Linked DNA regions of Ovis aries. The main gene of each other region encodes a partner of the protein of the gene in region 3 in a complex. Links are inferred from orthologs where the notes say so. Each region holds a gene or a part of one and is shown on either strand. Other genes may lie near its edges. The genes, in order: U6 snRNA-associated Sm-like protein LSm3, PPIH, SNRNP40, RBM22, LSM5, BCAS2 and CD2BP2.

Region 1 (2,408 bases), on a different chromosome or scaffold from region 3:
AACTATCCTGGGAGGTAGGTGGTGTTATCTACATTTTATAAACAAGAAAATCAAGGCTCATAAAATTAACTTCCACGAAGTCTCACATGTAGGAAGTGGTAGAGTCGAGATTCCATCTCCATTCCCATTCTTTTCAGAACACACACCTGCCTCTTCAAGAAGAGAGCTGTGGGACTTCTTGGGTGGTCCAGTGGCTAAGACACATGGCTCCCAATGCAGGGGGTTGGGGTTCAATCCCCATTCAGGGAATTAGATCCTACATGTCACAACTAAAAGAACCCACATGTCGCAACAAAATTGAAGATCCTGTGTGCCATAGCTAAGACCCAGGGCAAACAAACAAATAAATAAATATTAAGGAAAGAAGAGAGCTATATAGCTGATTCACTTTGTTGTACAGCAGAAACTAACACAACATTGTAAAGCAACTGTACTTCTCCCCACCAAAAAAAAAAAAAAAAAGAATTCAAAAGAAAGGAAGAGCTGAAAACATATGAATATTTTTTTAAGTTTTGTTTTTATTTTTTATTTTTTTTTATTTTTTTTATTTTTTATTTTTTTATTTATTTTTTTTTTTCTGTATCGCGCCGATCACATTTATTGGAAGGGTTGGAGAAAAATAAAAATGCCGTTTAGCTGAAGTATTTGTGAGTTATCTACAAATCAACTTATTTCAGGAGTGGAAGAATTCTTGCTTATTTTCAGCATCAAGATGCACATCGGTCTCTCTTTGGAACATCTTCCACACTCAAAGAGGCCACCGCACAGCACAGCCCGTCTCCCACAGGCGGCGGATTCTCGTTTCAGCCAACTCTCAATGGCGGGGCAACCAGCACAACGCCGTCTCCCCGCACAAAGAGCATCGGAATATTCCGTTTTGTTGATTTATATATTTCTTCATATGTTTCTTCATCAATTTCTATAGTTGTCACAGTTTCTTCCACATCTCCCAATATCATATTTAAATGTTGATCATAAGCGTGTAACCGGCCTCGAAGTTCTCTGTCGTTTCTCATCTTCACGTAGATGCGCTCGTCCAGGCTGAGCCGGATGAGATCCAAGGGCTCTTCCACAGTGTTGGTGGTTTGTTGCTGGTCCACGTCGTCCGCCATCTTTCAAACCCTCTTAAGTTTTGTTTTTAATGTGGACCGTTTTTAAAGTCTTTATTTGTTAAAATATTGCTTCTGTTTTATGTTTTTTTGGCTACAAGGCATGTGGGATCTTAGCTCCCTGACCAGGGATCTAACCCATATTCCCTGCAATGGAAGGTGAAGTCTTTCTTAACCACTGGACCACCAGGGAAGTCCCCACAAAACGCATTTTAATTGAGTGAAGAAAATAAAACATTTCATGTTTACAAAGACAAAAGACATAGCAAAGAACTTGTGGAAAAGCTGAAACCAAGAAAAATGAGATTTTTGGAAGTTGGAAGACAGACCTTGACCAAATGAGATCATCTTTAGGAAAGAAGTAAAGCCTGGATCCCAAATTCTCTACTGCGTTACCCAGTATTTTCTCACGTGATGATGTAGCAACCACTTGGTAATCATGGAGGAAAAGAATGACATCTGGAGCCAGGCCGACAAACCAGAGCCAGCCACGTAAGATGGTGCCGAATGAAAATACTAGCTTCCCCAAGACACTCAGAGATCTTTCCCCAGCTTTTGGATGGCAGAAGGCAACGACAGGGCTTGCAGCCAGTGCCCCAGCATCTTCCTCCTCACCCCTTTTGACTTTATTATTCCTGATAACCTGGTCATGCATATACAGCTACCAAACATTAAGTTTTCTTGAAGTCTCACAGCTTTGGGTTTTCTTACCAAGTCATGTGACTCAGATCTAGGCCTAGGAAGTAAACACTGTTTCCTGAATCTCAAATACCCACTCTACTTATGTTATTCTACACCTCCAAGAAGCTCTTGTCAAAACAAGATTAAACACGGCAAGATTTTATTAGGAGAAATGACTGTATGAAAGTAATTAACCTCCAATTAAAATAAATAAATTTATATTTAAAAAAAAAGAAAATAGAGAAGGAGCTGTGAGTGAAGCCTGACTGGTAAGGAGGGAAAGAAGAGAAAAGGATGTATGGAAGCAGTTGAGACTACCAGGCAGTCTAAGGAAACTTCTGCAAGACCTTGAGCCAAAGTTGTCCAACAAAGGAGTCCACATGTCTGCCTTAGTATCCCTGCTGTACTAAGTCATGGGTGCTTCCCTGGTGGCTCAGATGGTAAAGAACCTGCCCACCAATGCAGGAAACCCGGGTTCAGTCCCTGGGTGGGGAAGATCCCCTGGAGAAAGGAATGGCTATCCACTTCAGTATTCTTGCCTGGAGAATCCCATAGACAGAGGAGCCTGGCGGGCTACATGCAGCTGCAAAGAGTTGGACACGACTGAGCTACTGAGCA
Region 2 (4,138 bases), on a different chromosome or scaffold from region 3:
GTGTGCTGGAAGCATAGTCTTAACCACTGACCCACCAGGGAAGTCCCTGAACTATCATTCTGTGACTGCTTTTCCTTTGTTTTTGCATTCCCTCATTAGGAACTATTTGGATCTGCTCTTTGGAACAAGATCCAGGAGGGTCAAGTCTTTCTACAAACAAGGAATCAGGTACATAAGCAAGGGTTTTATACACAGCAGTGTCCTGCCAAGGGCCGGCTGTCTCAATGCCTTTTTCTTTGGTACTCAACAACCTTGAGGGAAACAGGTGGACAAGAAAGGGAACGTTATAGATAGGTTATTCCTAAGCTTTGCAAAGGCACCCGGTTTTTACGAAGGACCCAGCTTCATTTTCATGGAGTTAAACAAGTGTGAAGCAGCTGGTGAGGTGGGGAAACCATATAATTTTGGATGGTGAATGGCATGAAGAAAATCAGTAATCTATCCAAAAGAGTGACAGAGGGCTACTTTAGATTGGGTGCAATGTTCCTGACTAATGACCTGAGATGAGACTTGACCTACAAGACCACTCCGCACCCTCATGAAGATTTAGAAGAATATTAAAGTCAGTTAACAGGCCCTAAATAGAATCCGAGTCTCCGTGACCTAGAGGAACAGGCTAGAGTCCCAGGTAGGTGGCCAGATAATGTAATGTAGGTCTTTTATGTAGCAACTGGATTTTATTCTAAATAAGGGAATCCGGGAGTGATTTATAAGCAGATTCATTTAAAAGCTCTAGCTGCTCTGCAGTAAGTGACTTGGAGATGATGAAAGCGGAAGCTTGTGGGAGAACTGGAATTAAAGTCTAGTGCCTGACTTCATGAAAGTGCTGAATATACTGAACAAGCCTTATATGCCAGGCTGTTCAAAGCGCTGAGGATAAACACGGTTTTTGCTTCCGGGCCTCCAGACTAGTGAAAAGGGGTAAGAGGCCGCACATATGATGGTTCAGACGGTCTTGGCTGCAAAGGCTGATCAGACCCTGAAGACTGCCTAGTCCAAGCCCCGTAGCCTGAGCGAGAATCATCCGTACTGCACTTACTGTATCCAAGTGAATGAGAGGCCCGTGGGCCTCGAGCGAAAAAAAAGCCGAGGATGTCCTCCGGCCTCAGCGCTCAAGGAGACTCAGGTGAGGTAACAACTTGCGACTCGTCAAAACGGAAGGAAGCCCCGGCCACCCACGCAGCGCGCAGCTTGGCATCGAAGGCAGAGAGCTTCCGGGGGCGGGGCCGACCGCCTCCCACCGCACCGCCCCCCCCCCCGGCTCTTCCTGCGCCTGCGCCGGAAATAAACACCTCCCGGCGGAGCAAGATCATAGGATCGCCGGAACCCCGCGCTCCCGACTTCTGCTTCCGGGTCAGAGGCATGGCGGTGGCAAATTCAAGCCCTGTCAATCCCGTGGTATTCTTTGATGTCAGCATTGGCGGCCAGGTGAGGTCTTGGCAGCCAGCCAGCCCGATGCCAAAGGGAACGTGCACGCGGTCTGGCAGGCAGATCACCTCCTCAGGTGTAGCAAACTCGGGAAGCCAAAAAGTGAAATTGAACCAGAACCTACCGACCTGCGGGGCGGGGGTGAGGGAGTAGGAAGAGGAGGAGTCTTGCGCATCCTAGCGCCCGGCTGGTGGAGGGACCGGGTGGAACGGAAGAGTAGGCTACGGAGGCGGAGGTGGGAGAGACCAAGCGGCATGGGGGCCCGAGGGTTCCCTGTTCGGTGAGGCCTTCACGGGCTTGGACTGGGCTTTCTGAACGTCTCTCGCCGGTTGCAGGAGGTTGGTCGTATGAAGATTGAGCTCTTTGCAGACGTTGTGCCTAAGACGGCGGAGAATTTTAGGTAAGATGATGTTCTTTGCTGGATAAACCAAACGAGAAGCTGGGCCTGTCTGTGGAATCTTCTGCCTACCTCTATCCGTTCATTCACCGTCCTTGAGATCTGACTTCTCTGGGTATCTCTCTGAATAGTCTTGACCGTCCCCTTTTCAGTTTATGTTAATCTGTATGCCTGGACGTCTGACCAGCCAGTTGGTGGGCTAGCTAGCGCCGACGTTCCCCTTCCCGCTGAGGTTAGGGACGCTCAGAGTTGTGATGCCATGGCGACTGAATCGTTCACTCTTTTCCTTTTCAGGCAGTTCTGCACAGGAGAATTCAGGTCAGTCTCTGACGTGGTTGACTTCTCTGCTTGCTCCTGAGGGCTGTCCTGAGGCTGCAGTTGAGGGTATTGGGGAATCACCGGCAGGCCTTGTATGACTGGTGACAGTAATAGAAGGTATTACTATGGGTCTGTCCTCAGTTCATTTGCCTTCTTCGTCTCTCTTCTCCCGACCATCTTTAGAAGGGTGTCTCTGGCTCGACTGTATGGTAAACGTGAAAGGCCTATGTTTACCTGTTTACCATTTCAAGTCTCTTTCTTTTTGCTTATAGAAAAGATGGGGTTCCGATAGGATACAAGGGGAGCACCTTCCACAGGTAAGGCCTTTGGCAAGCCATCCTGGGGGACTTTTAAAATTACTATTAGTATGGTTTAGAATTACTTCCTTGGGGGATTAGTCTCTTCAGAGGAAAACAAAACCATAGCATAATTCTTAGTTCTTGAGAAGGGATGCTTTTGTGAACTCAACCATTGATTTGAGGACTGAAGTGATAAACATTATATTTTGAAATTAATGTTATTCCAAACCACACAATCTTCTCCCAGCATCCTTTGTTCTCTGTTTCAGGGTCATAAAAGATTTCATGATTCAGGGTGGAGATTTTGTTAATGTAAGTACTGTTCCTTTCCTATTAAGGGCCTATAAGTTTTGTTTTTGTTGGTTGTTGTTATTGAAGCTGCTCCTCGGGGAACTGAGAACAGTAGCCAAGTTTGCTGGGGGAGGAGGTGGGAATGGGAATATCCTGTGATGGCTGCTACTCGCTGCATCACTAGATAACATATTAGCACTTTGATTGAGTCACTCACTCCAAATCTCAGTCTTTTAGGGCTGGGAACTGACTTTCCCAGCATACCTATAGGTGATCCATGACAGACCCAAATTAACTGGGCACATGGAATTTAGCTAGAAATCAGTTACAGTTAACTTTCTCTAAATGGGGGCAAGTCCCTTTCCAGTGAGTTAAATGCTTATGCCCTGATTTCCCATTCACTTCTGGTATCCCAGTGCCTCGGAAGGTGAGTTGTTATTTTTTTAATCAAGTTCATTAGTGGGCAAGAAATCAGAGAGTTCTGGAAGGATATTTTCCCTATTCACTAGGAGAACCCATTGAATTAATCCTTCATTGCTAAGCATGATTTTTCTTGCCACTGTATGCATCCCCATTTCAAGCTTCCCAACCTTGCAGGGTTCTGAATAAACCACATTTATGCTTTCTTAAACCTACGTTTGTCCATACCCACCCATTTCTGTGCATGATCTTTCTTATTAATATCATTTGGTTAGTCATGTTGCTGTTTTCTTGGATCTGGGAGACATTCTTTATCCTTTACATGTATATTTAGTTTGACTGTTAGGAGTTTTTTTAAGATTTCTATCTTTCCTACCCAGATAAGTTTACAAAGTGGCAGATTTGGGGCTGAATCCGAAACAGATATGCTTTGTATCATCTGTATGATGTTGTAAAACTGGGAAATTTTCCGGAAAGTTCTGGAGTTTTGTTTTCTCTGTTACAACTGAAAAGTAGGGGTGCACTTGGCCTGTGTTTCTCATGTAGCAACATTTGGTTGAGTCAAGTAACAGCTCCCTTTAGACAGGTATGTCCTTATTATTTCACCACAGTTCCCACCACTGGCTTCCCTTCTTTACGTCACATACTCCTATAGGCATTTAAGTTTGCAACCCCTGGCCACGACTGATTAGAGTAGGGCTTGGGGTGACCATATCCTTTTTTATTGGCAAGTAAGAAGGGCTAAGATGCTATTCTCTGTGTTCTTTCTTCCAAAGGCTTCTATACTGCTATATTGTCTTAGCAGGGATAGGACTAACTTCTTATGGGTCATTGCTAGGCACATGTGATCACTTGCTAATTGCTCTAGAGTTAGCAGTTAGTCAGCCAGAAGGCTGTCAGGGAGAAGAAATTACTCAGAGCCACCCTTAGGGCAGAAAAAATAGAATGAGCAAGACGTAGAAGCAGAATTTGAGACCTTCTAAAG
Region 3 (4,068 bases):
TTTGTGCCTTTTACTCATTTTCCTCGCATTTGCCACAGGACTTCTGCACATGCTGTTCTAGATGGAACATTCTGCCTTCCTTGCTTCACCCAACTAATTATAATTCTTCCCTGAGGCTATCAGTTCAGGCATATTTTCCTTACAGAAGCCGTCCTGTTTATTCAGGCACTCATTAACACCAGGTACCTCTCCTAGGTAGCACACACTTCCATACTTCCCATTTCCTAGTGAGATCTGGTGAGCATCTATTTCCCCCCAACCCCAGACTTAAAGCTCTGAAGTCAGGGACCATGTTTGGTTCACAATGTCTGCCCAGTGCTCTGTATTATAAATATTAGTTGGACGACTGAGAAGAAGGCCTAGTTCACAGGTCTGAGTTCGAATTTCTCAACAAAACTGTACTCCGGAGGCCAAGAGTCGGACATTACCTTCATCTCTATCTTTCTGAGGAGGCGCTAGTAAAGGCTGCGGAATCATGGCAGTGACAAGTCCGCCTCTTCAGTCAGAGAGGACCCTGATGGAGGCTAGGAGATGGGCCTTTTCTCCCTGGGATCGCCTGGGCTAGGGCTCTGCACGGAAAACACTGTTGAAGAAGTCAGCCATCGAGGGCCCCAGGCTGAGCAGAGGCTCCCAAAACTCTGCTCCAGGCTAGAAAGGGAACCCAGGCTAGGTGCTAAGTCGCTTCAGTCGTGTCCGACTCTGCGACGCCATGGACTGTAGCCAGCCAGACTCCTCTGTCCGTGGGATTCTCCAGGCAAAAACACTGGAGTGGGTTGCCATGCACTTCCCCAGAGGATCTTCCCCACCCAGGGATCGAACCCGCGTTTCTTAGGCTTGGAACCCAGGCTACTACACACCAGAGCTAGGAACTCGGGGCCCCCTTTGCCCCTTGCAATCAAACCTGCATCTGAGAAGAGCCAGCCTCAGACCACTCCAGATCCCACAGCCACCCGCCCCTCGACCTTCCTTACACTTACTTGTTGTCTGCTTCTGGTCTTTCCCTCGCAGCATTGCGCGAAACACCAAAACCCAGTCAGTGAGCTTCCACCCACAAGACACAGCGCGCCTAGGCGGGACTCCAGCTCTATCCACCAATCCTGAATTCGTACTCTAGTGATGTCAGAAAGAACTGGCCAATAACAGGAAAGTTCTCAGGGGGCGGTGCTGAGAGGTATATTGGAAGTCGATTGGGTTCTATCGGCCGGAAGTTCTACGGGAAAGACTAAGTCCGAGCCAATCGTGAGGTACCTGAGGGGGTCGGCGCGGTCAGTGGCGGCCTGAGGATAGCGGCTGCCGCCATGATAGAACAGCAGAAGCGTAAGGGCCCAGAGTTGCCACTGGTCCCAGTGAAGCGGCAGCGACATGAATTACTGTTGGGAGCGGCAGGGTCGGGCCCTGGAGCCGGGCAGCAGCAGGCGGCGCCGGGAGCTTTGCTGCAAGCGGTGAGTATAAGGAGCAGGCGGCCTTCGGCCCTCAGCTCATCTTCCTCTCTCCTCAGCACCTGGTGATCCTGCGCGGCCCTTAACCCACACTCCCGGCCGGAGCGGGACTCTCTCTCCTAGGAGTTAAAGCAGAAAAACACGGTAAAAGCGGCGTACACCCGGCGATTCTCCCTGCGTTTCTCCATTTGACGCGCGTTTTCAGCGTCTTGACCGCCCTGTGAGGAGGTGTTAGAATTAAGAATTGAGGATCTTGAGCTAAAAACCGAGACCAGGGTTTTGACTTCTTAAATGTTCCAGGGATCCAGTATAGAATAAACGATAAATTTCAGAAAACTTGGAAGATTGGATGGATGAATGAATGAATGAATGAGGGAAGGGGGGAAATGAATGCCGCTGGCTCGTTTTGGGGACTTGGGAAACTTGCTTTTCCCGTTGTTTCTCTGCACTGGTATTAGTAATAACCAAAGAATAGTTACCATCCGTTGAGCCCTTGTGCTGTGTAAATGAAAACTGCATTAATCTCGGTAACTTCCCAAGAGTTAGGAAATATTATTATCCTAATTTGTAGACGGGAAAACAAAGTTATATAGTAAGTGATAGGACTTCCCTCATAGCTCAGCTGGTAAAGAGTCTCCCTGCAATGCAGGAGACCTGGGTTTGATTCCTGGGTCAGAAGATCCGTGGAGAAGGAAATGGCAACCCACTCCAGTATTCTTGCCTGGAGAAACCCATGGACAGAGGAGGCTGGTAGGCTATAGTCAGTGAGGTCGCAAGAGTCAGACATGACTTAGTGACTAAACCACCAGGAACAGCTTTTAAACTCAGAATCCATGCTCTTAACTACATTTCCTGTAAAACTGAGGTAGTGATCACACCTCTGCTTCTATCCTGTTAGGCTCAGCTGACAAAATATATGTCTTCCCGCCCCCCACAACTCCTCAACCAGCTGGTTAGCAAATGTTGACACCACCCTCAAACTATATCCAGACTCACTACCGCTTCTTCCACCTTCCAGCTTCTTTGGTGGCTCAGACAGTAAAGAGTCTGTCTGCAATGGGGGAGACCCAGGTTCAGTCCCTGGGTTGGGAAGATACCCTCGAGAAGGAAATGGCAACCCACTCCTTTTTTCTTGCCTGGGAAATCTCATGGACAGTGGAGCCTGGCGGGCTACAGTTGATGGGGGTCACAAAGAGTTGGACATGACTGAGTGAGTGACTAACACTTTCTACCACTTCCATCACTAGCTCCTGGTTTAAGCCATTAGGGCTTCCCTGTTGGCTCAGAGGTTAAAGCATCTGCCTGCCATGTGGGAGACTTGGGTTTGATCCCTGGGTCGGGAAGATCCCCTAGAGAAGGAAATGGTAACCCACTCCAGTATTCTTGCCTGGAGAATCCCATGGACAGAGAAGCCTGGTAGGCTATAGTCCAGGGGGTCGCAGAGTCGGACACGACTGAGTGACTTCACTTTTCCTTTTTTTTTTTGCGATTTCACTTTCACTTCACTTGTCTCATCTGGCACTATGGCTGTAGGATCCTACTGGAATTCCTGTTTCTGTTTATGGATGCTCAGTCTATTCCCAAACCAGTAGCCAGAGGAATCCTTCTAAACATAAGATCATATTACCCCCCGCTGAAAACTTGCCATGGTTTTTCACGTCAGTCAGAGTAAAACTGAAATCTTGGCAATCTTTTGCCCTCTTTCACTTGATCTCTCTGATCTACCAATTTTCCATTGCTCACCTTTCTCCAGTCACAGTGGCTTCCACGCTCCTGCTACAAAGTCTTTGCATTTGCTGTGCTCTCTACTGAAATACTCTTCTTCCAAGTGTCCACATGGTTTATACACTCAGCTCTTCCCAATCTCTGCTCAGATAACACTTTTCCACTTTCCTGACCAGCCCATTTTAAATTGCCATACCTTGTGCTCATCTACATTGCTGCTCTGTTTTTCTCCATAACACATGCCACCGTCTATATGTTTTACTTGTTTCTGCTCACCCTCCCTCTTTTCTGTCCTTCCCACTAGAACACAAGCTTCATTTTTTATTTTGTTCAGTACTGTTTCCTAAGTGCCTGGGACGGTACCTGACGCAGTATTTCCTGAGTAAATGAGTAAGCTGGAAACTAAGGAGATTTGCAGATTGTTAATAGTGTGCTTCTGTCTGGCAAGAATATCAGCCTGGGTTTCTTTGAATTGCCGCGACTGCAACTGGTCTTAATGTCCAAGACCATTATCAAAACTACTTTCTTCAATAACCTGTACCCTGCAGGGTTGTTGGAAGCATTCGTTCAATCATTCATTCATTAAACGAACTAGAGACTGGGAAACAGTGTCATGTTACACTGGTAAGGTTCCTGCACTACAGAGCCTTTCTCGTGGCAGAGCAGGGGAGACAAACTAAACAAATACATAAGAAACGTAATTTCAGATAGTGATAAGTTCTTTGAGGGAAAAAAGTAGTGTTGATCAAATGCAAAAGAGAGGTAGGGTGCTGCTTGGGCTTGAGTGTTCCAGGAACAACTTTCTGGAGAGAAAGCACTGGAAAGGAACCACACACAGAAAGATCTCGGGGAAGAGGCCTCCAGTCGGGGACAACAAAAGATCCTGAGGCAGAAGTAAGTTTAA
Region 4 (3,966 bases), on a different chromosome or scaffold from region 3:
TACTGCCCTCAGTCTTTCCCAGCATCAGGGTCTTTTCAAATGAGTCAGCTCTTTGCATCAGGTCGCCAAAGTATAGGAGTTTCAGCTTCAACATCAGTCCTTCCAGTGAACACCCAGGACTGATCTCCTTTAGGATGGACTGGTTGGATCTCCTTGCAGTCCAGGGAACTCTCAAGAGTCTTCTCCAACACTACAGTTTAAAAGCATCAATTCTGCGCTCAGCTTGCTTTATTGTCCAACTCTACATCCATACATGACTACTGGAAAAACCATAGCCTTGACTAGACAGACCTTTGTTGACAAAGTAATGTCTCTGCTTTTTAACATGCTGTCTAGGTTGGTCATAAATTTCCTTCCAAGAAGTAAGCGTCTTTTAATTTCATGGCTGCAATCACCATCTGCAAGAGAAGTCAAACCCAAAATAATAGTTGTTCCAAAAATGATTTAACAATACACATGTTGATCCATAAGGCTTTTCATTTAAGAAGTTGGAAAAAAGTACTGTTGTCTTTGGATTTCTGGCTTCACCGTTTTTTAGCTACACGACCAGAAGCAAGTTCATCTCTCTAAACCTCGGTTTCCTTCTATAAACGAGGTACAGTCACACTTGCCTAGAGGGCAGTGGTTGCCAGGAAAGTGCAGGACATCCTCCTAAATTTCACTTTCAGAAAAACGAGTCATTACTTAGCGTAAGCATGTTTGGAACAAATTTATACTAAAATAACTCGTTGTTTATCTGAAATTCAAATTTTACTAGACGTTCTGTTTTTGCTACATCTGGCAACCCTATAGCGGGCTTACTGTGGGAATTAAATGAGATAGTCACCGCAAGACGTTCCCCCCACTTTTTGGCATAATAAGCGCTCACTGGGGTCGACGCTGTTTTAATTCCAGGCCCTCGTTCATTCTAGTTCCTTTATTCTTTCACTCAATTTTTAAATAAACCAGTTGAACTTGTGACTCTTCATTCCTGGCTGTCACCACTGGAAGGAAGTAACTAGAGGCCACTTGTCAAGAAATTCCAAGCGAGCGATGCCATTACACAAGGTGCCGCCCTCAAGGGCGCGCAAGACGCGTAAATAAGACGTCGACGTGCCGAGAGGCAGCCGCGGGGCCTGACGGGATTGTGGCGGTCCTCTCCCAACTCGGAAGCTGCGGCTGCCTCCAGACGCTCTCAAGATGGCGACCTCTCTAGGTTCCAACACCTACAACAGGCAAAATTGGGAGGATGCGGTGAGTGAGCCTGCCGGAGGAGAACAGAAAGAGGCAGCGAAGTCAGGCCTCCAGCGGGCGGGCAGGGACGTGGCTGCGGTGCGGCCGAGGGAATTCCAAGAAGAAGCCAGCACCGCGGCCTAACTCAGCTACGGCTGAAGGCTGGAGGGCGGCCCTCCTGCGGGCTTGGATGGAGGGGGTTTAGCCAGGGTCTGGGACCAGCTCCCTTTCTGTGTCTACTCCCTCCACTCTTTTCGAGCGGGTCTTTACTCCCGCCGCCTCCCGGAAGTGCATACAGCGCCCGCTCCCGCGACCCGGCCCGTGCTGGACCACGGGTTCCCCCTGTTCCCCAGCCTCGCTCCTCGCCCCCTCCCCCGCGCCGCACGACAGTGGCTGAGACGGCAAGGCCTTTGGAGCTTGGCGTTCAACCAGCTTTCCCATTTTCACCAGGACTTCCCTATTCTGTGCCAGACGTGTCTTGGAGAAAACCCATATATCCGAATGGTGAGTGATTGAGTGTAAAACGGGACCTACTGTATGTATTCTGTCAATGTTTTGGTACTCGCACACTGTCGGTCATGTATTTCTCTTAGCCACGAAGAAGTAATGATGCTTCTTTACTAACCCGAAGTGTAGGAAGAATTTGCAAAGGACTGTCATGTTCTCTCACTTTGGAACTCGGCGACAGTCTGTGATCTAGGAGTCATAATAATAGTTAATCGGAGAAGGCAATGGCACCCCACTCCAGTACCCTTGCCTGGCGGAATCCCATGGATGGAGGAGCCTGGTGGGCTGCAGTCCATGGGGTCGCTAAGAGTCGGACACGACTGAGCGACTTCACTTTCACTTTTCACTTTCATGCATTGGAGAAGGAAATGGCAACCCACTCCAGTATTCTTGCCTGGAGACTTCCAGGGACAGGGGAGCCTGGTGGGCTGCCGTCTATGGGGTCACACAGAGTCGGACACGACTGATGCGACTTGGCGGCAGCAGCAGCAGGTCTGTTAACCAGAGGCAAAGAAAGTTTATTTCTTTTCAATACAGCAAGTAAGGTGTGGAGCTGGCATTTAAGTTCAGATATTCTGACTCCAGGGACCTCAACAAATTAGAAGGAGAACCAGGACTGAACTCAAGTACCTTTTGGCCTCCACACCTTATAATGTGTTTAGTGTAAGGTACTTTCTCTCCTTATAAATAAGAGTAAAATTAGCAGCAGTTTATATTTAATAATTGGGGCTGTGTTGTGATCAATCTCAGAGATATTGATTTATTATATAAGAGGACCATCACAGGATGAGGCTGTAGTAGTTACCTCTGACTAAACTTTGGAAAATGGACCGGCCCTGGCTGCATCCTCTGTGCTTTAGGCACTGTGGAAACCATTAGGAAATTGTTCTTGGGAGAAAACTTGGGAGCCAGAGGTGAATCTTAAGAATTGTGGTTGTGGAAAGGTACATACTTACTCCATGTTAGATCCATAAAATTCTTAAGAGGTCATAGTTTGTATGTGATTAGATTATATCCCAGCCCCTTCCTTGCCCTCCCCAAAAAGGGTAGGGTCCCATTTCCCTATCCTACCCCTTAAGATGCCAGGGATTTCCAGATACTTTTCTTGTATCCTATGTGGAAAAGACTCTGATGCTGGGAGGGATTGGGGGCAGGAGGAAAAGAGGACGACAGAGGATGAGATGGCTGGATGGCATCACCGACTCGATGGACGTGAGTTTGAGTGAACTCGGGGAATTGGTGATGGACAGGGAGGCCTGGAGTGCTGCGATTCATGGGGTCGCAAAGAGTTGGACACGACTGAGCAACTGAACTGAACTGAACTCAACTGATGTAGAGAAGGAGCAGGCATCAGCTTTTTTCCCCTGTGTCTGTAACTCCTCTATTTTTTCTATTTCAGACCAAAGAAAAGTATGGGAAGGAATGCAAAGTAAGTGTGTTAAAGAGTAATGATTTAGTTTTATTTTCCTTTTTTCTTCAACTCCCTGAGGTTTGAAGTTCTTTATAAAAGTGAGTGTGACACTGTGCATTCATGTATCATTTATGTACTCTTTGGCTGTTAACTACTTAGGGTAGGAGTAAGAAAATGAGCCACTTAATGCAAGGATTCTGAACTTGATGTCTGTGGTTGGTCTTTGAACCCCCTGGGATTGCATATACCAAATGTTCTGTGATTATGCCTATGACCATTTTTAAGCTGAGGGGGAAGGTCATAGATAGAAGATTTTTAAAGAAGCATAGGACACTCCCTACTCACCTCATAAAAGATTAAGAATTACATTGTTAATGCTGGTGACCTCTAGAGTGGGAGGACTTTGATTTTTGAGTATTTAAACTACTGAAGAAGACTGTTGTGAAGGATTGAAACGTCAGATCCTGTTTAGCCTAGATGATTGCTAAGATCTCCTCTAAACCCTAGATTTGGGGATCCTTTCTTTGAATCCCCTGCTGTTACTAAATCTCCTGGATTAATTGTCCAGATCTGGACTGTTAACACTCTGTGGCTTTATCTTGTGTTCCAGATCTGTGCCAGGCCATTCACAGTGTTTCGCTGGTGCCCTGGGGTCCGCATGCGTTTCAAGAAGACTGAAGTGTGCCAGACCTGCAGTAAACTGAAGAATGTCTGTCAGACCTGCCTCTTAGACCTCGAATATGGTATGTTTGACTTGTCCCATAGTTCTGAAAGTGTGCCAGTGCTCTAAACAGCAGAGCAGTCTTCCTGTCTCTGGTTCTGACCCACTTTGAAAT
Region 5 (4,172 bases), on a different chromosome or scaffold from region 3:
AGGAGGAAAAAGTTTAAAACTTAGTACCACATGATCTAAAAACCCCTACTGAGAGCTCACTGACTGGTCATTGATCAGCCTTTGCCTCTCCCTCATATTCCCATTTTCCCCATGTCACCTCTGTTTACAATTCCAACAGTATCAATTAATACTTAGTGATTTAATGTTTCAACAGTTAATTCTTGGTAAAATAAATGATTAAAAAGCACAAGCAGGGACTTCACTGGTGGTGCAATGATTAAGACTCCATGCTCCCAATGCAGCGGGCCCAGGTTTGATCCTTGGTCAAGGAACTGGATCCCACATGTTGCAACTAAGTAAAGATCTTCTGTGATGCAACTAAGACCCAATGCAGCCAAATAAAAAAATAAATAAATATTTTAAAAATACATAAGATAAAAGGTATAAACAAACTAATCTTAGGCCTAATGTCATCTTCAACAGTTTGGCCACAGAATCCTGATCAGCAGAGCATTCCCTTCCCACCCTAAGCACCACTGGGCCAAGAACATTGAGTCAATCAAGTCAGTTCTGTAATCCCTGCCCCACAAAGATGGCTTAACATCTAAATAAAAGACCTTCACTGTCTTACCATTGTTATATTATTTCCATTTAGCAAAATTTGATCTAATTTAGTAATTCTTCTTCCTTCTGGTGTGATTTCACTAAACAAAAAGATTTTCAAAAAGTCAGGATAAAGAGTGATAATCAAAGCCAACATTCTGATCCACCAAAAGGTTAGTTACTATATATAAATGAACTGTACACTTTCCAGAGACAAGGTTATCCCCATGGTGATGTCAATTCTCCAAAGGCAAGAGAGTGGACTGACTGGCCTAAGACCCACATCCACTAGTGCAGATCTTCATCTAAAAAACTGAAACTTACCAAGGAGATCAAATATGAAATAAAATGTTTATATATATATATATACACATAAGTTTTAGAGTAACTAATTTAAAACATTAAATGTTTTTATTATAAGTTCCTTTATTTGATCTGAGCGCTAAGATCCCTGGCTGCTTTTAGTATCTTTTACCTTAAACCTTTGTCTCCACTAACTTCCTAGCAATTAGTGACAATTAAATTATGGTAATAATCCTCCAATCCAATTTTACTAACATCAGTAGGTAAACTTTCTCTCTTTAGAGTAATTCAAACAGGCAGTGTGCTCTCCTACATCCTTTTACTGACTCAACAGCACTAAAACTGCCTTAAATCAAACAGAGATTCCCCCTACCCATTCTTTAATTTTTAACACTACTCACAATTCAGTGACATCTTCCAATACCATATCTGAAATTTGGTGTTAAGAAAATAAACATACCAAATTAAATTTACTCTGGCTTATTTCTTTGTTCAGTTTTAATTATAACATTGAATACAATGGCTCAAATGCAAGCTGCGTGCAATTGGTAGGAACTTCATCTTTCAGTACCACAATCCCTTAAAACACTATCACAATTTCCAAAAAAATAAATTAAACTTTATTATAATAATCGGTAAGTACTGATAGTCTATAGTTCTTTTTTAAAAATCTGAAGAAAAATCCATACAACCACCTTTTAAAAGGATACTGACAAAGTCATCAAATCCCAGAAGTGTGCCAACAATCTCTTTATCACTCTTCATCACAATGTGAATTCTTGATCCTATACACTTGTCCACAAGCTCTGCAGATAAGGGCGGGAGAGAGAAGATTAGTTTGCCCATTCATAACATTAACAAATATTTGAATGCCTACTGACACTTGTTACATGCATATGGTGAAAAGATAAGCCAGGAAAAGTATTCACTCCAAAACTTTAGACCTTATGTTACATATCTCTGTTCAGTCATTCTATTAAAAGGACAGTTTTCCCTCCCTGTTATTCATTTAACCCTCCTTTGTAGCAATTTATCATGGTTGTAGTTTAATACTATTTTAGTTATCTGATTAACATATGAACGCCCCTCTTGACTCTAAGCTGAAAGAGAGCTGAGAGGTGGTTTTTACTCATCAGTGTATCCCCAGTGGACAATGCCTGAAATGTACTGGTCATTCAGAAGAATTTGTTCCAGGATGGAAAAAAACCTTTACAATAACTGCCACATCCACTAACCCGATAACCCTTCAAATATAAAATATTAAGGGGAAAAAAAAGGCAGAACTGTCTTCACCAGAGATTCCTCCTTGTCATTAAGTCTATGTCTGCCCTGTATCCTGTTTCCTACACTGGTTTGTATGCTATCTGAAGGTAATGGCCGTGATTTAAATTTGTTGAACAGTGCCCAATCACAGTGTCTAGTGCACAGATGGCGCGGTAACTGCTTGCTGAATAAATGAGTAACAAGAGCTAGTTTTCAGAGGCCTCTTTAAAGGCTCATTCCAGACCCAAGTGCCTCACTCAGAAACCAGCCAGACAGGATATAACCCGGGTAGTTTAAAAGCCCGGTTGCGGAATGGGCCTCTTACTATTATAAAGGCGAGCACCCAACAAAGAAGGTCAACGACACATTCACCAAGACTGAACCTTTCCGGTGAAGGTTTGGGGAGTCAAAAACCCCTGCCTCAAGAAGACTCCCCCACGCCAGAGAGACTTGTGCGGCCTCAGGCCGCCGAGACTTGGAGCCTAAAGGAGAGCTGCAGAGAAAGCTACGTTTTTCTAACACTCGGTCAGGGACTGCCTTGCTCTTCGGCCCCAACCCTAACTTTCAACTCCCCGCCCCGGCTCCCCAACAGGACAAAGATTACCTAGAGGAAGCAGCTGCGACGGGTTAGTGGTAGCGTTAGCCGCCATGGCTACGCCGGAAGTGGCCTGCCTCTATCGACGTCGGAACGGCGAGTTTGAAAGAGCGCGCTTCCGCTTTTTTCCGGCCCAGGCAGGCTCGACCAATCTGAGGCCGAGAGTGCGATTGAGGAGATCCAGCCACTTCTTTATCCTGCAGGGAGATTCTAGAAAGTGTTTCTGTTCACTGAGCGTTCTAGGTTCTCCACAGATAACTCGCCTCTCCAAACTTCCAAGAGACTTTAGAGATCTCCGGTCTTATAAATAAGTTATTTCTCTAATCCGGAAGCCTGCGAAACGGAAGCCTTTGTGCTGTCTTATTTCCCCTTATCGAGGTGTGTCTCATATCAACCCAGGATCTTTCTTCGACCAGAATCAATAAATTTGATTTTCCCGCCACCGATTCATTGTGTTGCAATTTTCGTTAAAAAAAAAAATCTACCGCTTCTTTTAAAAGTTTGATGATTTGAAAACCCACAACTAGCATTTTTAATAAAGTTTGTTGGGCGAGGGGGAAATTTTAAGTATGTTTTCTATTTTCTACTATCGTTTTCTTTTTCTATTTTTCTATTCTACTTTTTCAATTTTTTCCATTTCTATTGTTTTCTATCTTCTACTATCAGGAGTTGGTGATGGACAGGGAAGCCTGGTGTGCTGCAGTCCATGGGGTCGCAAAGAGTCGGACAAAACAGTGACAGAACTGAACTGTCCTTTTTAATCTTGTAATATCTAGGAGTCTGCTATACATTTTGTATACACTATTTCTTCCACAGTCCAACAGGCAACCACCAGATGTCATTCTATGTTAATAACATCACATTTAGGAAGCCTTGCTGCTTTTACGCATCTGTTTTGAAAAGAAAAAGCGAACAAATTTTTTGCGTTGGTCTATTTTATGTTTATATCTGAGGAGCTTAAAGCTAAAGAGTTTAAGCAGGAAAGGCCAGGAAGGACATCATTCATTCACACAATGGCTGCAAAGCACCAATCATTCATTCATCGAACAAATACTTTAGTTGAACATTGGCATTTTGCTCAGTATAACCAGCGTAAAGAACAGAACTACAACGTCTTCTGCCCTTATAGGAGCTAAAGGATAAATGGGGGAGAAAGACAACTAGCAAGCATTATGTACAAAGCACGTGGAATTTAATATGTAAAGCAAAAAGTGCTCTTTTAACTTCAGGGATCTTAGTCAATCGTCACATCATTCTTTGGCAAGACAAAGTAATGCCAAAAAAATTTGTTTTCCTATATCTATTCTTGTTTCATTTTCACCATACCATAATGTGAATAGGAACCAAATTCAAGGTATTGTTGCTACCTGATAGAGTTTAAAATTCAAGAAAATAAGCTTTAAGTCAATATCTTGCTTTCCATTACAGAAACCAAATTAACATTCAG
Region 6 (3,500 bases), on a different chromosome or scaffold from region 3:
TCGACAACCAATTGAATTGCTCAGTATGAAACGGTAAGTCCTATTCTTGGTTCAGCTGGGCTCAGATCATTCTTTAATTTTAATTTATTAGTAAAACTTTTGTCAGTTCAGTTCAATTCAGTCTCTCAGTCGTGTCCGACTCTTTGCAACCCATTGACTGCAGCACACCAGGCCTCCCTGTCCATCACCAGCTCCTGGAGTTTACTCAAACTCATGTCCATTTTGAGTTGGTGATGCCATCCACCCATCTCATCCTCTTTCATCCCCATCTCCTCCCACCTTCAATCTTTCCCAGCATCAAGGTCGTTTCCAAGAGTCAGTTCTTCACATAAGGTGGCCAAAATATTGGAGTTTCAGCTTCAACATCAGTGCTTCCCATGAATATTCAGGACTGATTTCCTTTAGGATGGACTAGTTGGATCTCCTTGCAGTCCAAGGGACTCTCAAGAGTCTTCTCCAACAGCACAATTCAAAAGCATCAATTCTTTGGCACTCAGCTTTCTTTAAAGTCCAACTCTCACATCCATACATGACTACTGGAAAAACCATAGCTTTGACTGGACGGACCTTTGTTGGCAAAGTAATGTCTCTGCTTTTGAATAAGCTGTATAGGTTGGTCATAACTTTTCTTCCAAGGAGTAAGCGTCTTTTAATTTCATGGCTGCAGTCACCATCTGCAGTGATTGTGGAGCCCCAAAAAATAAAGTTAGCAACTGTTTTCACTGTTTCCCCATCTATTTGCCATGAAATGATGGGACCAGATGCCATGATCTTAGTTTTCTGAATGTTGAGCTTTAAGCCAACTTTTTCACTCTCCTCTTTCACTTTCATCAAGAGGCTTTTTGGTTCCCCTTCACTTTCTGCCATAAGGGTGATGTCATCTGCATATCTGAGGTTATTAATATTTCTCCCGGCAGTCTTGATTCCAGCTTGTATTTCTTCCAGTCCAGCATTTCTCAAGATGTACTCTGCATATAAGTTAAATAAGCAGGGTGACAATTGTTACTTTCTCTAAAATGGGGAATTGGGTTGCTTACCATCTGAGGTCCCCTTCAGCTCTCAGATAACTCTGAAGTGATGAGAACCAATATATAATCTGGCAGAGCGGAGAGGGCCACGTGAACAGTGGAGTTATCCTCTCAGCATATGTACAGATTATAAGAGGGATTTGAGCCTATAGAACCAAAGGACCGGATTTCTTCTTTTCTTATGCTCCATTTCCTATCTGGCCTGACATGATAAAAGCAGAAAAACTTCCAAGGCTCCTTAGTTCTCACATTTCTAGCTGCTTCTGCTCTAAAGGTTTTCACAGTAGTAGCTCTTTCATAACAGCATATTTTAAACCCATAAGTAGGTTATAATCCATTAAGCAGTTGATTGTGAAGTTTAGTAAGACATCACAGCACTTTTTTTTAAGGAAGATTAAAAAACAAATCCGAATGCATTGCATGTAAAGTTAAGTACTGTTTTGTGAAACTTCTGTTCAGTTCTGTGTATTTGTATACTGTGTCACAGTGTAAAATATTTCTTATTGTGGGTTATGATCTGAAGTTCTTAAAATGATACAGTTACGATGTATGTGTAAAGTTTGCTTTAAAAAAAAAAAAGAAACAAAGTGGTTTATTACTTCTTAGTCCCAGCTGCATATCCCTCAATTTTTCATAGGAATGATATGAAGTTTTTACAGTATCTAATAAAAATAACAAAATGGAAATTGAAAGTTAATTTGTAACAACTCAGTAATGAGCTGGGATTTATGAAGAGTATATGTTGCTGGCTACATTGGCAGTATTGAAGGACTGGGTATTATTAAAAATAGAGAAAAGACTGAGTGTGAAATGTAAAAATCATTATATACCTTTGCCATTTTTTTCTCTAGAGGGGTGTAGATATGTGGGTAGGAGGGTGCATAGATGTAGGTGTGTTTTACAAAATGATAGCATAGTTTTTCATATCCTGATTTTTTTCCCTTAATGTATTACAAACATTTTAATATTCCAAGTATTCTTGAGTAACATTTAATAGCCAATATAACAGTCCTTTTTGTGAATGTAGACTGTAGCTTATTGTATCATTTCACAATGAAGTGAACAGTTTTTTGTTACTGTATATCATAATGCTAAACCTTATTTGTAAATCGATTCTTAGCATAAATGCGCTTCTTATTATTGCAAGGTCTACGTGTTATCTTCAGTCTTCTGGTTGGCTTCAGTCTTCTGTTTTTACAGTGTGGGTAGACCTATGAGGCATTCTGTTGGGAGTAGAGAGAAAGATTTGGAGGAATATATGGTTTTATTTCATTGTTGTTTAATTTCAGATACGAACTTCCAGCCCCTTCCTCTGGTCAGAAAAATGACATCACTGCATGGCAAGAGTGTGTAAACAATTCTATGGCGCAGTTAGAGCATCAGGCAGTTCGAATTGAGAATCTGGAACTAATGTCCCAGCATGGATGCAATGCCTGGAAAGTGTATAATGAGTAAGAACCCTTTTTTTTTTTTTTAACCCATCCCACCTGTTTAAGGAGACCTAAACCTAACACATTTATTGTGTAACATTGCAATAGCAAGTTCTGAGGTCTGATTTACAAAACAGCTTGGTAGTAGACTATAATCCTTAATGTGGGGGGTTGCTTATACAGTCAGCTCTCATTAGTTGCGCTTTCTGCTTTTTAAAGTTGCCTTGAATATTGAATTAGCAAATACTGAACCATTTCAGCATTTGGGAGAAATAACATACATGTGTATATATATACACATCTCATATAGACGATAATCTTACACACTTTATAACAACTCACCCTGACAGGCTCTGTATTTCCTTTATTTTATAAAAGAGAAGACAAAGTTCAAAAGTGTTAAGTAGCTTGCCAGAGTTGGAAATTACACTCTCTGCTCTGGTTATCTCTGCATGAGACCTGAAACAAGAAGGTGGAGTATCTCCTTGTTCTGCTTTAGCTGGAAATGCGCATGTCCAGCAACTCTGAATTTTTTGCTGCTCTTGAGCACATCCATGAATGATCACAGAACTCTGCATGGATTGATTTGGGGGTTACAAATAAATTTGAGTTAATAGGCAAATTCTCTTGTACAGAATCTGCAGATAATGAGAATTGATTGTAAGTAGAGACTTAACATCAGAAACAAGAGTGCTACTGAACTCCTATTTCTTTTCCACATAATTAGCTTTAGGTTTTGCTGTCTGTAGTATTTAAGGTTCAGTTTCCAATTTGTAAAAGTTAGTGGTTAGATGATCTTCATGGCTTCTTTGAGCCCTAAAATCACACATTTCTATTAACAGTTTAAGGCCATTGAACCTCATGACTGCATAAAACCGTTTGTTAGACGATGAGTCCTGAAACAGTAAAGCAAAAATCACAAAATGGTAAATAGCTTTTCTCAAGTTTTCATAATCATCATCAAACTTCTGTGGGCACATAAGGATCTGTGGGCAAAATCCAGAAGTTAAGAAACTGCAGCACAAACAATTCAGTTTCTGTT
Region 7 (4,274 bases), on a different chromosome or scaffold from region 3:
TGCTTTGCCTCCCAGGAACCTAAAACCCATGGTGGCTCATTTTCTTCTCAAGGCCTCCATTTCCTCATCTGTCGGGTCAACAATACACAGGGATGGGGGCTGTGAGTACCCCCTGCACGGGCCAGGCTGAGACCCCCCAGGCTGATCACCCATGGCCTCTTCTCTTCGGGCCTGCAGGCGTCAAGATCATCTTCCGGGTGGCCCTGGTGCTGCTGCGGCACACGCTGGGCTCGGTGGAAAAGCTGCGCTCCTGCCAAGGCATGTATGAGACCATGGAGCAGCTGCGGAACTTGCCTCAGCAGTGCATGCAGGAGGACTTCCTGGTGCACGAGGTAGGTCCTGGCCTTAGCGTACCTCACACCCGCTTCAGTAGATCCCCACCCCACTTCACCCTGGTACCCATGTCTTCTCCATCTAGGTGACCAACCTCCAAGTGACAGAAGCACTGATTGAGCGAGAGAACGCAGCCCAGCTCAAGAAGTGGCTGGAAACCCGGGGCGAGCTGCAGTATCGGCCCTCACGGAGACTACACGGTTCCCGGGCCATCCACGAGGAGCGCCGGCGGCAGCTGCCCCCCCTGGGCCCCTCCTCCAGCCTCCTCAGCCTCCCTGGCCTCAAGAGCCGGGGCTCCCGGGCAGGTGGAGGGGTCCCCTCCCCACCCCCTCCCGTCCGCAGGGCCAGCGCGGGGCCTGCCCCAGGGCCCGTGGTCACCGCCGAGGGACTGCGTCCATCCCTTCCTTCGCCTACTGGCAACAGCGCCCCTCTGGCCCCTAGCGGCAAGGAGGCCCGGAGGCAGGAGAAGGAGCGGCAGAAACAGGAAAAGGAACGCGAGAAGGAGCGGCAGAAACAGGAAAAAGAACGGGAGAAGCAGGAGAAGGAGCGGCAGAAGCAGGAGAAGGAGCAGCAGAAACAGGAGAAGGAGCGGCAGAAGCAGGAGAAGAAGGCCCAGGGCAGGAAGCTCTCACTCCATCGAAAGGCAGATGGACCGCCTGCCCCCCAGGACGGCGGGGACAGGTCCTCAGCATCAGAGGCCCGGCAGGATGCGTACTTCTGACCTCTGCCCTGGGGCTGGACTACGTGGCCCCCTCTTTTCCCTCAGCCAAGAGCAGACCTAGCCTGGGGTCCTGCTCCCAGCCCGCCCTTGGCAGGCTGTCCCTCTTTTTGAGGAAAGTGGCTTGTTCCCCGTCTCCGTGCCAGCCGCTGATCCCCACGTGGCCAGGACAGTCAGAACGGGGGGCAGCTGCATTTCCCTGGGGAAGCAGTGGACACCTCACCTCCAGCTCGGCCCAACTGGGGTCCCTTCCCAGGTGCCACTCTCCTGATTGGCCTTTGGTCACCGCAGGGGTGACCTGTGGCAGTGGGAGTCAGCAGTTTTCAGATTCTTACACTCCAGTCACTCCCCTTACCCGTGAAGTGAAGCTGGGTTCCTTTACCCCCTTCAGTCCTGCCTGTCTTCCCCCAGTTCCTGGTTGGGGGCCCAGGCTCTTCTTGCTCTCCTTCTGGACATCTCTGTGTTGTAATTATGTACAGAGGACCTGGTGGGCCCCGGGTGGGGGTGTTCACTCCATCTTCTGTTCTCTGGTTCTCCCTCCTCAGTGTTCTTGCACTCTAGTTTATTTAAGGGGACACGCACTGGAACAGGAAATGTCTCCCACCTCCCACCACCACCCTCCTTGCTCTCCTTCCTCTTCACCCACCTTTCTCTGTATTCTCAGGCCTCCCCTGCTTTATCTGACCAGGGCCCCTGCCTTTCACTTTGTCCCTTCCAACCCTCCAGCCCCTTCCTGGGTAAGGGTCTTCCCCTGAGCCCCAGGGGGTGGAACCCAATGTTTACATGTTCTTCTGTCTCTGCCCCCACCCTGTTCGGCCGCTTTGAGGAACCGGAAAAGAACCTGCTGTTGTACCTGGGCCTGTCTTTTGCCTTGTTATTTGATGAGTGGGGTTAAAGTAAGGACAAGGAGGGAGGGAGTGATGAGTTAGCAAGGATCTGGGTGTCTCTGGAAGCTGTTGACTGGACTTGGCAGATACCTTTGGGTCTTTAGTCTATTAGTCACTCATCAACACAGTTGTTGCGTTCCTGCTTCACCTCCACCTGCTGGGGATCTGCTGCCTCCGTTGTCACTGGCCTCCTGGAACTGTCTGTGGACAGCCTGCAGCATCCGGATCTCCTTTCCAAAGTGCTCGTGCAACTCCTGGAAGCTGAAGAGGGTCCTGGGGGTGGCTGGGGAGCCACAGTCCTCTGGGGGTGAGCCGGGCTCTTGGCCAGCTGCCTGGCACAGCTCCCGGTACTGGGCCTCCAGGGGGCGTAGCAGCTCAGCCAGCCGCGTCCAGGTGGCTCCGGCCAACGCCCACAGCCAGGCTCTCAGCTCCTCCCGGTTTTCTGCTGCCAGCCTGTAGGCCCGCCCACCATCTCCCCCTGGAGTCCGAATGGTAAAGGCATAAGGTTCTGTGGCTCCAAGGCGTGGCTCCACCTGGCAGTTCTCTAATAGGATGAGACCCAGGGGTGTGTGGTCAGCCTGGTGTTCCAGGTAGAAGAGGAGGTTTCCTCGCAGGATGAACCAGCGGCGCTGATAACTGGTATTTCGGGCCCCCTTCTTTAGCAGGATGCCCTCCCGGTCTGGAGCCTGTGTTCTGTACCCACGGAAGAAACGGAGCACGGACTTTCGGTGCAGTTTCATGGTAGCCCACTGTGGGAAGAAACCCTAGGAGTGGAGAAAGGAGGAGTGGGGCATTTGGTGATCCGGAGTACCCCAGCACTGCCCTCCTCTGGTTCCAGCAGGCTCTTTCTGGGCACTGTCTTGGTCTTGGTCTAGAGGGATTCAAACTTGAGTTTTCAAGAAGGACCTTCCACCCACCTCCCAACCTCAGCTCTGCCCCTTGGGCCAAATTACAAAACCTGGGCAGGACTGTAGTGCTGGGGTCCTGTTTGGGGGTGGGGTTGGCGGATATCCACTACGGCCCTTTCCCAGGCCTACCTGAGATGAGGGCACAAGGGACTTCAGGCCTCGGTACTGGGAACAGGTGCCACTGCCACCTCTCCTATTTGACTCTTCCCACCTCAGAAACCAGGAACTTGGCCAGGGGATAGGAGGCGGCTGATTTTAGACTTCCCCTGGGTCCTAAAAGGAGCTGGGTTCGGAAAGTCCCAGGAGAACCTCTGGGACAACAGCAAGGCTACACCTCGGACTAGCAAAGGGCGGACAACTGGACGCCAAGAGTAGGAAGGCAGGATTTCTAATGAGATGATGAAGGGCGCAGAACCAGCCGTGGGGAAAAGGAGACAACCCGGGAAAGAGAAAACTAGGGCAGGAACCCACCGGCCCTGCTGGGACTTTGTTCCTCCATCGTGAACCTGGGCGCCCCTTTCTCCTCAGAGCCTCTAGTGTTGTAGGAGGAAACCGAGATCACTTCCGGCCATCCTCGTCCGATCAGGGTCTAGGCGTTCAAATGTCCCCTCTTCTCACCATAGTCACCCCACACGGCTCGCGTCACTTCTGGGAGGGGGCGTCTCTCCCCGCGCGGCGCGTACTTCCGCCCGCTCCTTCAGTTGTTCATCTAACCCGAGTGAAGCCACTTCCGGCTTTCCCCGCCGCCTTCCGCAGTTCTCTTCCGGGTGGTGGCGGGCGGGTGGCCCGGATGTAGCCCTGGTGAAACCCTCTCTCCCTTTCTTCCCCCACCTTTCCTGGATCCTTAGGTGAGCGCGTGCCGGCGGGACTGCTGGTGTCCCCGTGGCCCTGCCGCCTTTCTAATTTGTACACAGCCCAAGACAGTTGGGAGTCACCCCGCGGAGTTGGGAGTTCGGCGCAGGGAGGAGCGGGGCTGCCAGGGCGCTAGGTCCTGGGTCTGCCGGGGCCCCTCGGGTTCCGAGGAAGCTGGGGGTGGTGGAGCGGGTGTTTACCCGCGAAGCACATCGCGCCCAGCACTGCTGGGGCCTGGAATAAGGGTGGTCACGTGGGGGAGCCCGTCTCCTCTTGTCAAGGGTGGGGGTGCCCGTAGGAGCTCCTCCGCCCGTCCGCTCTTGCGTCTCCGCACCAGCGGCTCTTTTAGATGCTAAGCCAAGTCCCGGGAGGGGCGGGGGGAGGGGCGGGTTCTGGACTACCAGCTCGCCTTTCGGCTCCTGATTCTGTACTCCCTTCCCAAAGTGGATCTAGTACCCGCCAAGTAAAAGATCTGTTGTGCAGGGGGCCCCCTCGCGGGGAGTTGCCTCCTCACCCAGTTCCCTTAATCTGCACCCTTTCCCTCTGCTCAGTTTGGAAAAGCCCTTCTGTCCAGTC

Evidence for each region.
Region 1: SNRNP40 (region 3) and U6 snRNA-associated Sm-like protein LSm3 share a complex: the UniProt entries of both Homo sapiens proteins name them as parts of the U4/U6-U5 tri-snRNP complex. The link is inferred for Ovis aries from reciprocal best matches to the Homo sapiens genes SNRNP40 and LSM3.
Region 2: SNRNP40 (region 3) and PPIH share a complex: the UniProt entries of both Homo sapiens proteins name them as parts of the U4/U6-U5 tri-snRNP complex. The link is inferred for Ovis aries from reciprocal best matches to the Homo sapiens genes SNRNP40 and PPIH.
Region 4: SNRNP40 (region 3) and RBM22 share a complex: the UniProt entries of both Homo sapiens proteins name them as parts of the postcatalytic spliceosome P complex. The link is inferred for Ovis aries from reciprocal best matches to the Homo sapiens genes SNRNP40 and RBM22.
Region 5: SNRNP40 (region 3) and LSM5 share a complex: the UniProt entries of both Homo sapiens proteins name them as parts of the U4/U6-U5 tri-snRNP complex. The link is inferred for Ovis aries from reciprocal best matches to the Homo sapiens genes SNRNP40 and LSM5.
Region 6: SNRNP40 (region 3) and BCAS2 share a complex: the UniProt entries of both Homo sapiens proteins name them as parts of the postcatalytic spliceosome P complex. The link is inferred for Ovis aries from reciprocal best matches to the Homo sapiens genes SNRNP40 and BCAS2.
Region 7: SNRNP40 (region 3) and CD2BP2 share a complex: the UniProt entries of both Homo sapiens proteins name them as parts of the U5 snRNP complex. The link is inferred for Ovis aries from reciprocal best matches to the Homo sapiens genes SNRNP40 and CD2BP2.

Annotation. Positions count from the first base shown.
Region 1 is NC_056080.1:116,710,674-116,713,081, reverse strand, and holds U6 snRNA-associated Sm-like protein LSm3, read right to left. Parts: upstream 1,126-2,408; 5' UTR 1,113-1,125; coding exon 804-1,112; 3' UTR 501-803; downstream 1-500. UniProt on the Homo sapiens protein: Plays a role in pre-mRNA splicing as component of the U4/U6-U5 tri-snRNP complex that is involved in spliceosome assembly, and as component of the precatalytic spliceosome (spliceosome B complex).
Region 2 is NC_056054.1:17,161,326-17,165,463, forward strand, and holds the start of PPIH (peptidyl-prolyl cis-trans isomerase H), read left to right. Parts: upstream 1-1,338; 5' UTR 1,339-1,362; coding exon 1,363-1,428; exon of another isoform or gene 1,429-1,763; coding exon 1,764-1,828; intron 1,829-2,119; coding exon 2,120-2,143; exon of another isoform or gene 2,144-2,237; coding exon of another isoform or gene 2,238-2,260; intron 2,261-2,415; coding exon 2,416-2,460; intron 2,461-2,711; coding exon 2,712-2,754; intron 2,755-4,138. UniProt on the Homo sapiens protein: PPIase that catalyzes the cis-trans isomerization of proline imidic peptide bonds in oligopeptides and may therefore assist protein folding. Participates in pre-mRNA splicing.
Region 3 is NC_056055.1:236,094,139-236,098,206, forward strand, and holds the start of SNRNP40 (U5 small nuclear ribonucleoprotein 40 kDa protein), read left to right. Parts: upstream 1-1,268; 5' UTR 1,269-1,298; coding exon 1,299-1,442; intron 1,443-4,068. UniProt on the Homo sapiens protein: Required for pre-mRNA splicing as component of the activated spliceosome. Component of the U5 small nuclear ribonucleoprotein (snRNP) complex and the U4/U6-U5 tri-snRNP complex, building blocks of the spliceosome.
Region 4 is NC_056058.1:59,831,541-59,835,506, reverse strand, and holds the start of RBM22 (pre-mRNA-splicing factor RBM22), read left to right. Parts: upstream 1-1,166; 5' UTR 1,167-1,179; coding exon 1,180-1,233; intron 1,234-1,662; coding exon 1,663-1,716; intron 1,717-3,118; coding exon 3,119-3,148; intron 3,149-3,740; coding exon 3,741-3,873; intron 3,874-3,966. UniProt on the Homo sapiens protein: Required for pre-mRNA splicing as component of the activated spliceosome. Involved in the first step of pre-mRNA splicing.
Region 5 is NC_056057.1:65,579,037-65,583,208, reverse strand, and holds the start of LSM5 (U6 snRNA-associated Sm-like protein LSm5), read right to left. Parts: upstream 2,801-4,172; 5' UTR 2,781-2,800; coding exon 2,735-2,780; intron 1,674-2,734; coding exon 1,578-1,673; intron 1,297-1,577; coding exon 1,269-1,296; intron 666-1,268; coding exon 593-665; intron 1-592. UniProt on the Homo sapiens protein: Plays a role in pre-mRNA splicing as component of the U4/U6-U5 tri-snRNP complex that is involved in spliceosome assembly, and as component of the precatalytic spliceosome (spliceosome B complex).
Region 6 is NC_056054.1:91,954,769-91,958,268, reverse strand, and holds part of BCAS2 (pre-mRNA-splicing factor SPF27), read left to right. Parts: coding exon 1-33; intron 34-2,317; coding exon 2,318-2,479; intron 2,480-3,500. UniProt on the Homo sapiens protein: Required for pre-mRNA splicing as component of the activated spliceosome. Component of the PRP19-CDC5L complex that forms an integral part of the spliceosome and is required for activating pre-mRNA splicing.
Region 7 is NC_056077.1:27,062,918-27,067,191, reverse strand, and holds the start of CD2BP2 (CD2 antigen cytoplasmic tail-binding protein 2), read left to right. Parts: upstream 1-1,474; 5' UTR 1,475-2,057; coding exon of another isoform or gene 2,058-2,678; exon of another isoform or gene 2,679-2,702; intron 2,703-2,975; exon of another isoform or gene 2,976-3,060; intron 3,061-3,625; exon of another isoform or gene 3,626-3,694; intron 3,695-4,249; 5' UTR 4,250-4,274. Other genes in the region: TBC1D10B (TBC1 domain family member 10B), read left to right, coding at 178-332, 419-1,054; sesquipedalian-1-like, read right to left, coding at 2,058-2,678. UniProt on the Homo sapiens protein: Involved in pre-mRNA splicing as component of the U5 snRNP complex that is involved in spliceosome assembly.